Astyanax mexicanus: one gene and its partner. The protein of the gene in region 2 purifies or fractionates together with the protein of the main gene of each other region. This does not show direct contact. Links are inferred from orthologs where the notes say so. Each region holds a gene or a part of one and is shown on either strand. Other genes may lie near its edges.

What was found. The genes of interacting proteins can lie anywhere in the genome.
Region 1: the proteins of pan2 (region 2) and pan3 purify together in Homo sapiens (co-immunoprecipitation; 5 studies listed by BioGRID and IntAct, with this or other methods). This does not show direct contact. The link is inferred for Astyanax mexicanus from reciprocal best matches to the Homo sapiens genes PAN2 and PAN3.

Annotation. Positions count from the first base shown.
Region 1 is NC_064408.1:96,473,909-96,481,288, reverse strand, and holds the start of pan3 (PAN2-PAN3 deadenylation complex subunit PAN3), read right to left. Parts: upstream 3,017-7,380; 5' UTR 2,723-3,016; coding exon 2,326-2,722; intron 160-2,325; coding exon 38-159; intron 1-37. Other genes in the region: receptor-type tyrosine-protein kinase FLT3, read left to right, coding at 5,601-5,631, 5,935-6,023, 6,889-7,034. UniProt on the Homo sapiens protein: Regulatory subunit of the poly(A)-nuclease (PAN) deadenylation complex, one of two cytoplasmic mRNA deadenylases involved in general and miRNA-mediated mRNA turnover.
Region 2 is NC_064420.1:44,624,571-44,631,587, forward strand, and holds the start of pan2 (PAN2-PAN3 deadenylation complex catalytic subunit PAN2), read left to right. Parts: upstream 1-4,005; 5' UTR 4,006-4,108; intron 4,109-6,653; 5' UTR 6,654-6,669; coding exon 6,670-6,945; intron 6,946-7,017. UniProt on the Homo sapiens protein: Catalytic subunit of the poly(A)-nuclease (PAN) deadenylation complex, one of two cytoplasmic mRNA deadenylases involved in general and miRNA-mediated mRNA turnover.

The DNA.
Region 1 (7,380 bases), on a different chromosome or scaffold from region 2:
TGTGAGAAGAACGTAGGCTGTGAATTCACATACGCACCTGCATCATTGAATATTTGGACTCTGCTGGGCTCCCAAACCCATTGACCCCAATAAAGCTGCTGCTGAAATAGGAGTTGGTCAGATTTGCATCACTCAGTGCCCCACTGTCCATCCCAGGGACTGAAACAAGACATACACAAACATCCATATTTATGAATTGTATCCAACAGGGACAAATCACTCTTATTTGTTAATTGTGACATGATAAAATAAGACATATAAATAAGGTTTATATTAAAAGTATATTAAAGGTTACTGCATTATACCACGTACACCTTAATCTGTTACAAGCTATTACATTAACTTAATAAATCAGTCCTTCGAAAACATTTATTTGTACAAATTAATTTCCAGTTAAACTGTTAAAATGTATATAAATAAAAAGTGAATTCAAGCCCTGGAATCACGAATCATCCCATCAACAGCAAAACAATTTTAGAACACAAATCTGTAATCCTGAAAATAAAAAGCTTTATTAAATGAGATATCAGCGCACCACAGAGAGCTTTTACCAACTTTAAAACTTTTTTTTGCAAACTAGTTTTTATCAAGTTAACTTGCACTTATTTCATGGCACAACAGGGGTGGCATTCTTAGAAACAGCTGGTTGTACATGGCACTATGACCTCACAGGAAGAAACACAAAGTTTACAACACATTTTACAGTGTTGGTTTCACAAGGGATGTAATACAGGATTGGATAGAATAGTCCACCTTACCTATCAGATCATCATTTTCTACTAAAATCTGTTACACACAAATACACACTGATACCTACATGCCATTGCCAAAAGGTTGTGTGGCATTAAGGGGCGTGACAACTGTTATATAGTAGGTTTTTTAAAACAGCATTGCAGAATAATTCATGCTGTTATTCCCTTGGCCTACAACTGGAGAAGTTAAGAGTCTGAGGACAGGTTTTTCGGTTAAAGACAACAAAATTTGAATTAAACACAGTTTGAGAAATATAAACTTTTTTCTTCAGCTACTGCAGTTCACACTGTGTGTATAGAGTCACAGTTATTGAAATGGTCACTGCCTGACTGTTTAAAATACTGTTCACCATTACATATGTGAACAAGCAAACACGATAGATGATAATATGATAATCTAATATTATTGAGGACATGTTCATTTACTGTACGATAGACTGATAATGTAATCATCATGACCGGCCTAATACAAACAAACTGATGCAATTCAGAACGCAATGTTTAGTTAATAAACATTACGAGAAAAATTACACCTCTCTCCAAATTTGTCTGAAAAATATTATCCAGTACCTATATTCCATCTCTTAAAGTGAACCACATAGGGGAGTCTGACATTTGTTATATTTAATGTTAACATTACACTGAATGTTAATGTCAATGTAATATCACGGGTTTATTCAGGTTATTGCTCCTAAATAATGAAACAGATGAACAGAGAGCATGTGCAAAGCTAGAAAGGTAGAAACTGTCCAACTGAATATCAGCCAATCACATGCCTGCTCGGAAAGACGTAAACAGTTTGGTCAGCTGACGCACACCGCGCTTTTTGGTAGTAATTCATAAACATTATAAAAACTAAAAAGAAGAAGGGTTATCTTCTTCACTCTTGTTCAGGGTGGAGGTATGAGCAAATATCTTACTGGGGACTCTCTGTTTAGACAGTAGTGCTTTAAAATAAAAGAAAGCAACTTTGAAAAACAAAGCATGGAGGAGCTTTCCTAAACACACAAACCCTGCAACTGCTGCAGGAAAGAGCTGACAATGCGGGTTAGAAGTAACAGCTCCAGAACTTCCCCAGCCACACAAAACCCTCTAGTTAAATCACAAAAACACTGCCTGACTTCAGCGGTTAGCTTCACCAGCACGGCGAGGCTGCTTCAGCTTTTCACCCTCAAACAATGACAGGTGGTGCAGCTCCAGCTTCGGCCCATATAAACACCTTCACGAACGAGCTGGAACCTCTTTTAAAACACTTTTCCAGAATTTCCACACTCCGTCTGACTAGTTAACTGTACAGTGCACAGGAATATAAGCTTCTCTCGGTTTCCTTGTGTAGTTTTAAGAGTTGAGACTATTAGTTAGCTAGCTAGCTAAGCTAGTTAGCTAAGCTACTAGTTTTGGTGGAGGGAATGAGGCCTCGCTGAATCCTCGGCCTCGATTTATGAACAAGCCCGCTCTAAGGCCCCGTGCTTTAGTCAACACAAACAAGCAGGGCTTCCTAGGCTTCTAGGCCCCATGCTGTCCTCTCAGTTTCCTCCCCAGACCCCAGCACTACCACTGAGCGCCAACTTACTGGTTAGAAGTTGCCCGTCCAGAGCTGCCCCAGCTGGCCCGAGGGCATCGCTCTTTTTGGGGACACTTGTGGGAGCAGTGCCCGCACAGGCCGCCGCTGCTACCACCGCGCCGCCCCCAAGCGGATACCCAGCTGCCGTCCCGCCGCCTCCCGCCATGGAGAAAGGCACAGGGCTGCCTCCACCACCACCTCCTCCAGCGGCGCCTCCTCCACCAGCAGCACTGCCGCCGCCGTGCACAGGCATGCTGGCCAGAGTCGGGTCCTCATGCACGAACTGACACTCGTCTCCATAAAAGCAAGTCTTGTCTTTCGCGTAGTAGCGGCAAAACTTCACCTTCACGCCTGGTATCCCCACCCCCCCGAGCGGAGCGGCTGAGGGTGGGAGTCCGCTGTTCATGGCACCGCCGCCGCCGGAGTACGCTCTACCATAGACGGGGAGGGAGAGGGGGAGACCTAGGGAGGGGGGGGCTCCTAAAACACACTAGTCCAACAGCACACTCGGCGCTCTGCAGTCAAAACCTGTGCCAAAATGAGGGCGAACATCCAGCCAGAGTAACTCAGGCGGACATTGTGCTTCGGGAAAAGCGGCACAAGCTGCGCCGCTGTGCTGAAATCTGTCCCCCGCCGCCGCCGCTGTTGTTATTCAGCGCCGCTGCTGCTGCTGCTGTTGTTGTTTTCAGCTAAGCGCTAACTAACTAGCCTCGCTGTGCATTATGGGGGCTAACGCTGCAGTTAGCTTTAGCAGACACTAGGGGCTTCATATACTGTATATACTATACATATAATTATATAAATAAATATAAATAAAGCTTTATAAATAGGATTTTTGTTTTGACTTTATTACTGCACTTCACTGCTGCTGAAACTGAGACTAAGCTGAGCTAAAGGTTTGTTGCCATGTGACTCTTCATGCACCACCAGTTTTCTCCAGTTTACAAGAGTCTTTCAAGGTGTAAGAAACGGGTATTCACCGCTTCATCCGTAATTTCTCTAAAGATATTTAAAAGAATTTCTCTTTAATAGATACAGAGTTATATGGAAGCCCATTTCCGCCACCTGAAGAAAAAAAAAACGTCCTCAACTAAGTCATTATTATGAGATAGTAAGTCATTATTATGAGATAGTAAGTCATAATTATGAGATAGTAAGTCATTATTATGAGATAGTAAGTCATAATTATGAGATACTAATTCATAATTATGAGATAGTAAGTCATATTCATGAGATAAAAAGTCATCTCATAATTATGACTTTGTATCTCATAATTATGACTTTGTATCTCATAATTATGACTTAGTATCTCATAATTATGACTTTTTATCTCATAAATATGACTATCTATCTCATAATTATGACTTTTTTATCTCATAATTATGACTTACTATCTCATAATTATGACTTAGTATCTCATAATTATGACTTACTATCTCATAATTATGACTTACTATCCCATAATTATGACTTTTCTATCTCATAATTATGACTTAGTTGAGGAAGTTTTTTTTTTTTTTCAGGTGGCGGAAATGGGCTTCCATACCATAGAGTTATCTATGGAAGCCCATTCCTGCCTTTTCTTTTTTTTTTATTTAATATCAGAAACTGGACTACTATTTTAGTGTGTTGAAGAGTGTGGCTCTGGCTCCGACTATGCTGTATGTTTTGTTTGGTAGGCTTCACTGGAGGGAAAAAAAAAACTTTTTACCCCCCAAAAACAAGACTTAGTATCTCAAAATAATGACTTAGTACCTTAAAATATTGAGATAGTATCTCAAAATAATTACTTAGTATCTCAAAATAATTACATAAAGTATTGGAATAGTATCTAAAATGATGATTTAGTATGTCAAAATAATGAGATAGCAGTTTACTTAATAATAATAAAAAAATGTTGCTCGATTATTTTATTTTTACAATCTGTACCAGCACTTACTACAAAGGATTTGTAAATTGACACTTTTTTCCATTGCTACTAACCAGCTGTAAGCCAAAAAACTTTTTTTTTAAACAATAATTAAAAATATATATATATTTTTAGATCATTTCTTTTCCTTAAAGGCCCAGGTTAGCATTAGTAAACACTAGGGATTCTAGTTAGTCATGAAGAACTAATCTATTAACACATAAAGAGCATGTCTTAAATGTAATATAAAGTCTAATAAAATTGTATTCAAATTTTGCTTTTTTAATCTCGAAGCATTAGCATTTGGAGTTCACATAGATGCTGGACCTTTAAGCATAGTAAAGGTAAAACACAATAAAACTAATTATATTATGAATCAAAATATCTATTATTATAATTATTTGTAGTTGTACTTCTGGTATCCACCATCGTATCATTTTAGACCCATTGATCTCAAATTATTTAAAACAGTACAATAAGAACAATACATTGTGAAATAACATAAAGTAAACATCAACATGTGATATTTACAACAGGACAGTTTTTATATATGTTTAAATTAACTAATCTTGTACCTTTAAAAAAGAAGTTCAAGTTCAAGTAAGATTTCATGTCATATGCATTATAGGTATACATTAAAAACAGCATCGTCTTGCAGACAACACAAAGTACATATCGTGGGCAACAGGAGAAATAGGGATATTGCATAAATCCACATACAAGAAGGATATTGCACATAAAAGACAACATACACCAGAAAACAAGCAACAATATCTTAAAGTAACAGAATGGAAGAGTGAGTGTCTGTATGGAGTGAACAGTGCAAATGCTATAGACAAATTGTGAGGGATTTAGATTTAAAATGAATCAAATTGAAATGTTTAAGAAAAGTGTTAAAGGGCACGAAAAATTCAGAAATCTGTTTTTACACATAATGTCTCATCTCTTAGTAATATTAATATAAAACCAAATAAATTATTAGATACTTAGTCAGCAATTAAAATATTTTTCACGTTAGTAACATTTATTAAATAAACCTTTAACAATACACTTTAAAGATTGAAAATAAAAATGTTAAACAAGAAAGGAAAAGGTCAAGCCATACTACCCAAATTTTCTTAACTGGTTAGACTCTGACGGTCTTAATTTGATCAACGTTAAATGTTTACAATGTTGAACACTTATTATGTGTGCATAAATAAATGTCTCTCGTCTTAAAGTCATCATAGTTCAGAAACTTTGTCACCTTCTGAAGGAAACCACAAAGTGCATGAGAGGTTGGGGGCGTGAGGCTTGAAAGTCTATGCGTCTCTCTACTCTCCACATCCCATTTTGTGGCTGGTGCTCCTCTGGTGTGCTGTTATGAACTCAAACGATGCAGTTAAGACAAAACACGTTGTTGTTGGGTAAGTAACCCTAATGCAAAAAACAGGTTTGCTAATCAGATCCTAATTTGTTAAAATTATGTGTGCTGTTGAGTAACTGTACCATCTTCATAGTGCATTTTAATTTTACCGTGATGTTAATTTTCTTTCTGTTATTATTGTTATTATTATGAGTATTACAGCATTGTTCTAATTGTAGCAGGTTTTTATTGTTGGTGGTGATGTGATAAATTTCTATTACTCATATTGGCTTCTTTTAGTACTCAAGAATTATTTCAGTTCTTTTTGTAAAGCTTTCACTTTTTTTTTTTTTTTGCACTGAAGTACTGCAGTGGTGTGTACTTGTCTGCAGTGACCGGCTGCAGGATGGAGACATACAAGAGCATCGCCTGCCCTGTGTCTCCAATGAAACTGTAAATTTTAATTTCTTTTATTAATGAAATTATTTTCATCAAGTTCTGTGCTTTTCTGGTTGTGTGGGTGTGAGAGTTACAGTAAAACTAAGTGTATTACTGTAAGAAAGTTTATAAGAATTAGTTTTGGAAATTAGTCTGGGGCTTCACTGAGCTTGTTCAATTTCTTTGTACTTTGAAATGTCAAAATTTATTTTTTGTAAATGAGGTCATTTAGTTGACGAAGAATAAAAGCAGAACTTACACAGTAGCAACAAATGCAGAAGTGTGGAACCCACCACAGCTGCCTTAAACATTACAATACCTTCTTCACTTCTCTGTGACATTTATAGACGATTGCGCCTTGTGTAATTACTTTGTATTATTTCTTAAATGAAAAATAACACTGCATTCGCTTGATAAACATTATTACAAAACTATTAAATAAAAGTTTGGAATCAGTTAGCTTACATTTTTATACAATGATAACCTGAGGATGATACCTTTAATATTATTAATATGTCTTAATATTAAAATATATACTTAATTTAATATTTTAAATATGCTTTGGAGAAAAAGAATATTAAATGGTATGACAAACCATATACTGTAATTCTGTGTTTAGAGGAATTTCAGGGGTTTTTTTGTTTACAATTTCAATAATGGTGATGTACAGCAGTCATTCTACAGTTCTCTAATTGTTCCATTTTCTGTCCTATGAATTATTTGAAACTTGTAAAATTAAACAGGTCTTTTATACTACACATATTTTATATTTATCTTTAACCAAATTGGTTTTATATTATGAAAAACATTGATTTCCAACTCTAGAACTGTGACTTTAATATGCAGAGCAATGGTTTCTGATTATGCTGTCTTGTTGCAGACTGTTACATGCAGCTTGTCTGAAGAGGCCCTAAAAGGGTTTCAGACAGTAAGGCTGGAGGTCCTGGTAGGACAGGTCGCTGAAATTCACTTTACACCTTTGGGAAACAGTTCTGGAAATTCTACTCCATGCTTCTGGGCACAAAGGTGTGTTTGTTTGTCTTTGTCTAGTTAATAATACCACTGCAATTTATCTATTTTGGATAAGGGTATTTTCACATTATCACATTTGCTAAACTGGCTAAGGGGTTCCTATTGCTAATGGCAGGTTAGCCCATCATACTAAGCTAGAGGTTAAATATCTTTCTTCAGCACTGTTTGTTCATTGCTGATGTAGTTCAGTGTCAGTTAATGTGACTGAACCTGTGTATAATAACAGATTAATCTGTCTCACAGGCTGCTATAAGTGGATGGGTCGATAGTGCGGTATTAATTCCTCCCAACCTGATGTTTCTGTTTCAGAACTGCACAAGCTGGTTTTGATGCAGAGTCA
Region 2 (7,017 bases):
GTGATCCAGTTTTAGGCCATGTCACCAATATAATGGTCATCTTTAATGACACCATCTTCATTCAACTTCAGAGTTTACAGTGTGAAGGTGTGTAATGCATCATACTGGTAGGGAATTCCACCAGAAGAATATGTTGTGGTGTTTCATGTTAATGGAAATTTATTAATTCTCATCTTCAAATTGTGTTTTTATGTGAAATCAGAAAATTACCCTAAAGTTCACCGCAGGTGTGCCCAAACCACAGATCTACTGCTCTGAGGAGTTTGAAACACACCTGGCTTTTAATACCAAGATGATTGTAAACTGTTATTACGTAAATCAGATGTGTTGGCTTAGGGGTGGTAAATCTCCAGGACCAGGTTTGAGCACCTCCGGTTTACAGAATTTGCTCAATCTCACTATATATACTATACTATATTTGCTTGTCATTTAAAAGCATCAATATACCTGACTATACAATAATAATGCCGGAAAGGTTCATCCAGGTGTTGTCGTCATGATGATATAAAGCATACAGTTATTTTTCTGATGAAATTTCTTTACCAGTTTACTGACAGTCACTTACTTCTAATTTTAAAATCTCAAGTTGAATCCAAGATGGTGGCATAGAAGATATCCACTATGTTTCCCCCTTCAGCCACAGCTTGTGTCTAAAACTGGGTCAATTTCTGCTACACTGTTTTATTTTACTTGGATTTTTTTATATATAGCATCTTTGACAGGGTATCTGCAGATGATGATAATTAAAATCTTTATTTAGCTAGTTAATCATCATATAATACAATAACTATCAACACTACAAACATTGTCAGCAAATTATGCAATCCTTTAGAATTCTTACAGTATTAAAAGAAAAAAACATTAACATAATTTAATCTTTAAATAATATAAATGATCTTTATAAATTGCCCTACATACCATTTTTTGAAAACTGAACATGAAATCTATGTTAGCGTTATTTCATAGTTTAATTCCAACAACAGATATACATCTCCTTTTAGTCTCATTTCTAGCTTTTTGTACAACAAATTTACTTTTATTTTAATGTTTTTTTTTTCTATTAATTCATTCATCGTCAATACCCGCTTTATCTGTCAGGGTCACGGGGTCGAATTCAGCACTTCCTCATGGGAGAGGCTGCAGGTGACATGACTATTTTCATTATTTCTTAGGAGTCAGCATAGCTTATAACAGCATTTTGGATAATTTCATTTTCTAAAAAAAGTTAAAGCCAAGAAGCCGAGAGGGGGTGCTTTTCCTTGCAGTGGTGCTGAATTCGGCACAGTACTGGCATCAGGTGAAAATGCTTCTTTTAGATGGATAAAAAGTTTCTTAAAAAGTCATTTAGTTCAAAACTAAATCCTTAATTTGTCTCCCAAAGGTCTCCCTTAAAATGTCACAGACAGAAAATAGATATATATTTAAAAAAAATATATATATATATATATATATATAGTTTTGTTTCCAGCTATATATTGCATTATACAGTATTTATATATATATAATTTTATATATATATATATATATATATATATATATATATAGTGTATGATGCAATATAAACAATGTAAACAATATAAAACCTACATGGAGGATGTGTGATTTATTATTCACACAAAATCTGTCAGCAGCTTACAAGCACTACATCTACACTCAACCAAACCACCATGTGACCTTCATCTGATTACATCACTTGTTTCTTCCATTTAATACAAAACAATAGAGTCAGAGTGTACATTTCTCACTTCAGCCTTAACTCCAACTAAACCAAATCCCATCATTCATCTCTCAGCGCAGAGTTTCATTGGGGTTGGGGCAATTTTTTAATTCCAACGAAGCCTAAACTACACCTCTCATGGCTCTCATAGAATTTCCATCATTTGGCACACAGACCCCGATATTCCTAGAATTCCAGCCGTAATGATCTTATTGTCCAGTCTGTACAGTTGCAGAAATGTTGTGCTCTTTTTTGTGGTTCAGGAGCACGTGCTGAACTTTGTACAGAGGAAGTGGGTTGGTGGCTTCATCTGTAAGTCATTCTTACAGATAGCCTGAGTGTGTGTCTCTTTACGTCAGGCCTCAGATTCACACCCTCAGTATTACGTGACTGTTAGCTTCTGTCTGCCCCACTAAATTCCCTTTGATTAAGTTAGATCAATAACTCTGTCAGAAAGTACAGGGACATAAAATACCAGTGAAAAAATATTTTCTCACACCGCTGTATGATATCAAAAATGGCTTTTCCCTTCTTATCTTCTGTCAGCCTGTCATGAGTGGGGAAGCCTTATTTTGATTTCTACAGTATTAAAGATGGGATTAGTCATGATCATAAATGATCAGTCATTGGTTAGTCAAAGCAGATGTATATTTAGAAATACACCTTACACTCTAAGAAATATAAGTACAGATTTGTACTTAAAAGAGTACAAAGCTTGTCGCTGGGGCTGTACCTTATATTGAGGTACAAAAAAGTACCTTTCAGTGAAAGTCCTTTTTTGTACCCATGGCTTTTGTGCCAGTAAAGATTATAAAGATTATAAACATTATCATCAACTAAATATGGCTCAAAAACTTGATGATACAAAATTGTCTGGCTTTCAAATAAAAAATGTGCAATTTAAATATATATTGTTTATTAGTACAGTGATACAGAATACTGAATGTACCTTTTGTCTGGTTAAATGGTACAAATTTGTACTTACTGCCGTTAGAAATGACTTTGTACTTCAAAGGGAACACATCTGACCCTGTAAAGACCAATATTGTACCTTTGAGGGTACAATTATAAAGAGTGTACCTTCGAGTACAAAAAAGTACTCATATCGTACCTCTGTTTCTTAGAGTGTATGATGTATTATGGAATGTATTTATATTGATTACCAACATTGTTAAATGGTTAAAAATGTTAAATGGTTGTGTTAAATATTATTTGGGATATTTCTAACATATGCAATATTTGAATATGGCTGACAAACAGTTGTTTTTATGTTAATGTTTTGTCTCCATGAGCTAAATACAAAAATGAATAAAACATGAACACAAGTTATATATTAACCAAGCTTTCTATAAATAGATTACCACACATTAAATGAGTCAATGAGTGACGTTTGACTCTTTCATTTATATCAGTGCTGTAATCCAGCAAAATAGGGAAGGCAAATGAATTAGTTTCTCTCTGGTAGATTTTCTTTATCTTCTTTATCAGCGTATGTGTTTATGTATGTATGAGTTAGAAGATAAAACTGCAGATACCTGTAGCTCATGGTGCACCTTTTTGTGTCATGCCCATATAATAAACTCTGAGTACAAATGGTGTAATTTTTAGATGTTCATAGAATGACTAATCAGTTATTTTAGTTTACCTAAAATTCTGATTAAATTTACTATACATCTTTCCTTGTGGTCAAATGAAGGGCCATTAAAAAGATACAACATTCCAACGGGCATCATGTATTTTCTTCATTATTGCATATTATTTCACATAACATATAAGATTAAGACCTGCTGTCCATCATATATACATTTATCAGCCAATTTAACAGCAGTTCAGCCTCGCCCTCTACATTAAAAAAAATCTGCACACTGAAGTAAAGCATGGCAGTATTACGTCTAATGAGGTACCAGGAAATGTTTCGTTTATTTTACCACTTAGGAATGATTTGTGAAAAAAAAAAAAAAAAAAAAAAAAAAAAAAAAAAATATATATATATATATATATATATATATATATATATATATATATATATAAAAGTTATATAGAATACAAATATAATCTTTAATTATATTTAATATTTAATATTTTATTATTTTATTTATTACATTACATATATTGTTTTTAAATGCATTGCAGACAGAAAAAAAACATTCTTATATTATAAAAATCATTCTTATATTTTTTAGCACTGGAATTAGTTCAGGTCTGAAAGGGATGTATTGGATTTTGAGGGGGTCAGACTGTGATGGTGGTGTCTGCAGCAGGTGTTGTGCCGCAGAGTGACCCGCGTGCAGTCTGTGCTCCCGGAAGCGGAATCGGGCTGTATTGTTGTTGTTTTGAATGGCTGGAGTGATGAGCAGAGGAGCCACCGCTAATTCCCTTCATATTCTCACAGTATGACCTTCATATTCACATTTATAGCCTGTGCTGAAACACCGGACTATATTATTCCTATAGCTAGAGTTACAGCGCCCTTGAGTTTTTATTTTCTCTGAAATTCACTGTTTTATATGGAATGTGCAGCTTTAGCACGAGAGCTAATGCTAACGGTCTGTAGGCTTTGCTGGCTGGATACTGGATAGCTAGTTAAAAAACGGGGGTTTTAACTCAAAAACTAATATTATATTGTCGCGTAATATTGTTTTAGCCTGAGGAGAAGCAGGGCAATTATATTAAAACACAGTTAGGTTAACTAGCTGGCTAGTTAACCTAGTAGTGCTGGGTGGTATGACCGAAAATGTCTTTATATCACGGTATTTTTAATATTAATTACAGCTCTGGAAAAAAACAAGGGACCACTTCAGCTTTTAAATTAGTTTCTCTGATTTTGCTGTTTATTGGTAAAAAGTTGTATGTTTGAGTAAAATGAACATTGTTGTATTATTCTACGGACAACATTTCTCCCAAATTCCAAATAAAAATTGAGACGTGTATTTGCAGCATGAGAAATAACAAAAAAGATGCAGAGCTTCCAGACCTCAAATAATGCAAATAAAATAAGTTTTAGAGTTCAGAAATTAATATTTGGTGGAATAACTCTTGTTTTAATCACAGTTTTATGCATCTTGGCATGTTCACTTCCACCAGTCTTACACACTGTTTTTAGATAACTTTATGCCACTGCTGGTGCAAAAATTCAAGCAGTTCAGCTTGGTTTGATGGCTTGTCATCCATCTTCCTCTTGATTATATTCCAGAGCTATATATAAGATTGTATATTAGTTTTTTCATGACTGGAGTTTTAATTAGGTTTCTGACTTACTGCCTTAAATTAAGTTAATTTAGTTCAATTCATATTTAGCTACTTATATAGCACTTTGTAAAAAAAAGTTGTCACAAAGTAGCTTTACAGAGAAAACAGGTCCAAGCATTTTTGAACAAGCACCACAGAGATGCCAATAATTGTGGAGGCAACAGTGGCAAGGAAAAACTCTCTTACATAAAGAGAAAGAAAACCTAGGAGGAACCAAGTCAGAGAAACCCATCCCCCTCGGGTCGACCCACACAGTACAAACAAATAACAGAACAAGACAACATTACAGAGAGATAATGTGGAGCTATAGCTAATGTAAAACAGGTTCTGAGTTATGAGTGTAACAGGTAATGGGCACATAATGGATAATGGAGAGCTATAGCTATTAATATATTTAAAAGGGCTATAGTTACTGGTCTTGAATGTTTTTTTAACCTCATATCCAGTGTTCTGGGGAGTTTTATCACTGGTGCTGAATAAATGATTTTGTATCCAGGACTGATTCTGGCTCGCCTGGGAGACAAGAGAAACTGTTTTCAAACTGTTTGCTTAATTGCTTATTGCTTTTGCTATTGCTATTGCTTAATTCCATTCGTTACTGTTTGCTGTTGTTTTTTATTTTACTCGGACAAAAACACTCATACAGTGAGGAGCAGCAGCAGGAGCTCCTTAGGTAAAGCGCTGTTCTCATTTTTCTCCAGGCAGGATAGCTCTAGACAAGCGTTTGACTCCACAGAGCTGAGCTTCTAGTGTGTTAGCTAGTGAGCTGTGCCAGTTTGCTTTTTTTGTGAAAGAATATGTAAAGAAATATATTTGGCTGTTTATACTCTTTCTCTGGTCCTAGAGACCTTCTCCTACCTTGCAATATTTTTGGTTCTTCCTTTCTCTAAAAGACCTGATTTGAATGATCAGCTGGTTATCAAAAGTCAAAATCTAAATTTAAGTTTGCATATACACAGAGACACCTAAGCTTCCAAAAGTTATATTTTCCTCTCATAAATATGATTAATGGCATTAAGGATTAAATCACTCCTTCAGTGTAATTAACCCAAAAGAGCCCAGACCCATTTCTGAACATTGATACCAATTTCAAAATCAGACCAGACTAAATTAAATAAGCAGCTCATTCACGTTTGTTTCTTATTGAGAGCAAATGACTGTAAATATTTTAGTTAAAATCCTAATGTAAAATAGCTAAAGAGTACAACAACAATTTTATAGAATGCAACATTCTGTATAGAGTAGATCAAACTCTCTGTAGTTTTACCACTCCTGCAATTTAACAATTTGTTCTCTTAGTTAGTTAATCGTTCCTTCAGTTTAATTAATGTGTTGCCTCAATTTAATCAATTGCCCCACAGTTTTAAAAACCTGTTCCTTCAGTTTAATACATTGTTCCCAGTGCAATTTAAGTTCCTTAGATTAAAAAAAAATCCATTTCCTCAATTTAATCAATGGTTTCTCAGTTTAAAGAAGTTTAGTTAACCTGAGCAAATCATTTATTAAATTAAGGGGAGCCTTTTTAGAGCTTTAAAGCTAGCTACCTTGATATTTTAGAAGCTTTCTCTTAACCTGTTGAGGACATATAGTCCTCCAAAGATCCTTATTTGCAGTAGAACTGAGTATTCAGTGCTTTTCAGTATGTTTCAGTATGTCTTTAACTGTATGTTTTGTTTGTGCTCCACAGTAGCACCTCCGTCCTCATGATGAACTTCGAGGGTTTGGATCCAGGCCTGGGCGACTATGCCCCGGGCCTGCACGGGAGCCTGGAGCCCGGCCTGGATTCCTCCCTCGACCCTGCTCTGCTCCAGGGTGTGGAGCTGGACCCTGACGCCCTGGCCGTGCCTGTGCCCGAGTCCGTGCACCTGCTGGAAGGCATGTACTCTGAGCTCCACAGCGTGGCTGCAGAAGTCGGCATTCCTGTGACAGCCACTCACTTTGACCTGCAGGAAGAGCTGCTGTGGATGGGGAACCACCGGGTAAGCTGACACACTCAACCACAGATGACACCATCTATTGTTGTTACTTTGACAAGGGTTGTGAAAATGCAG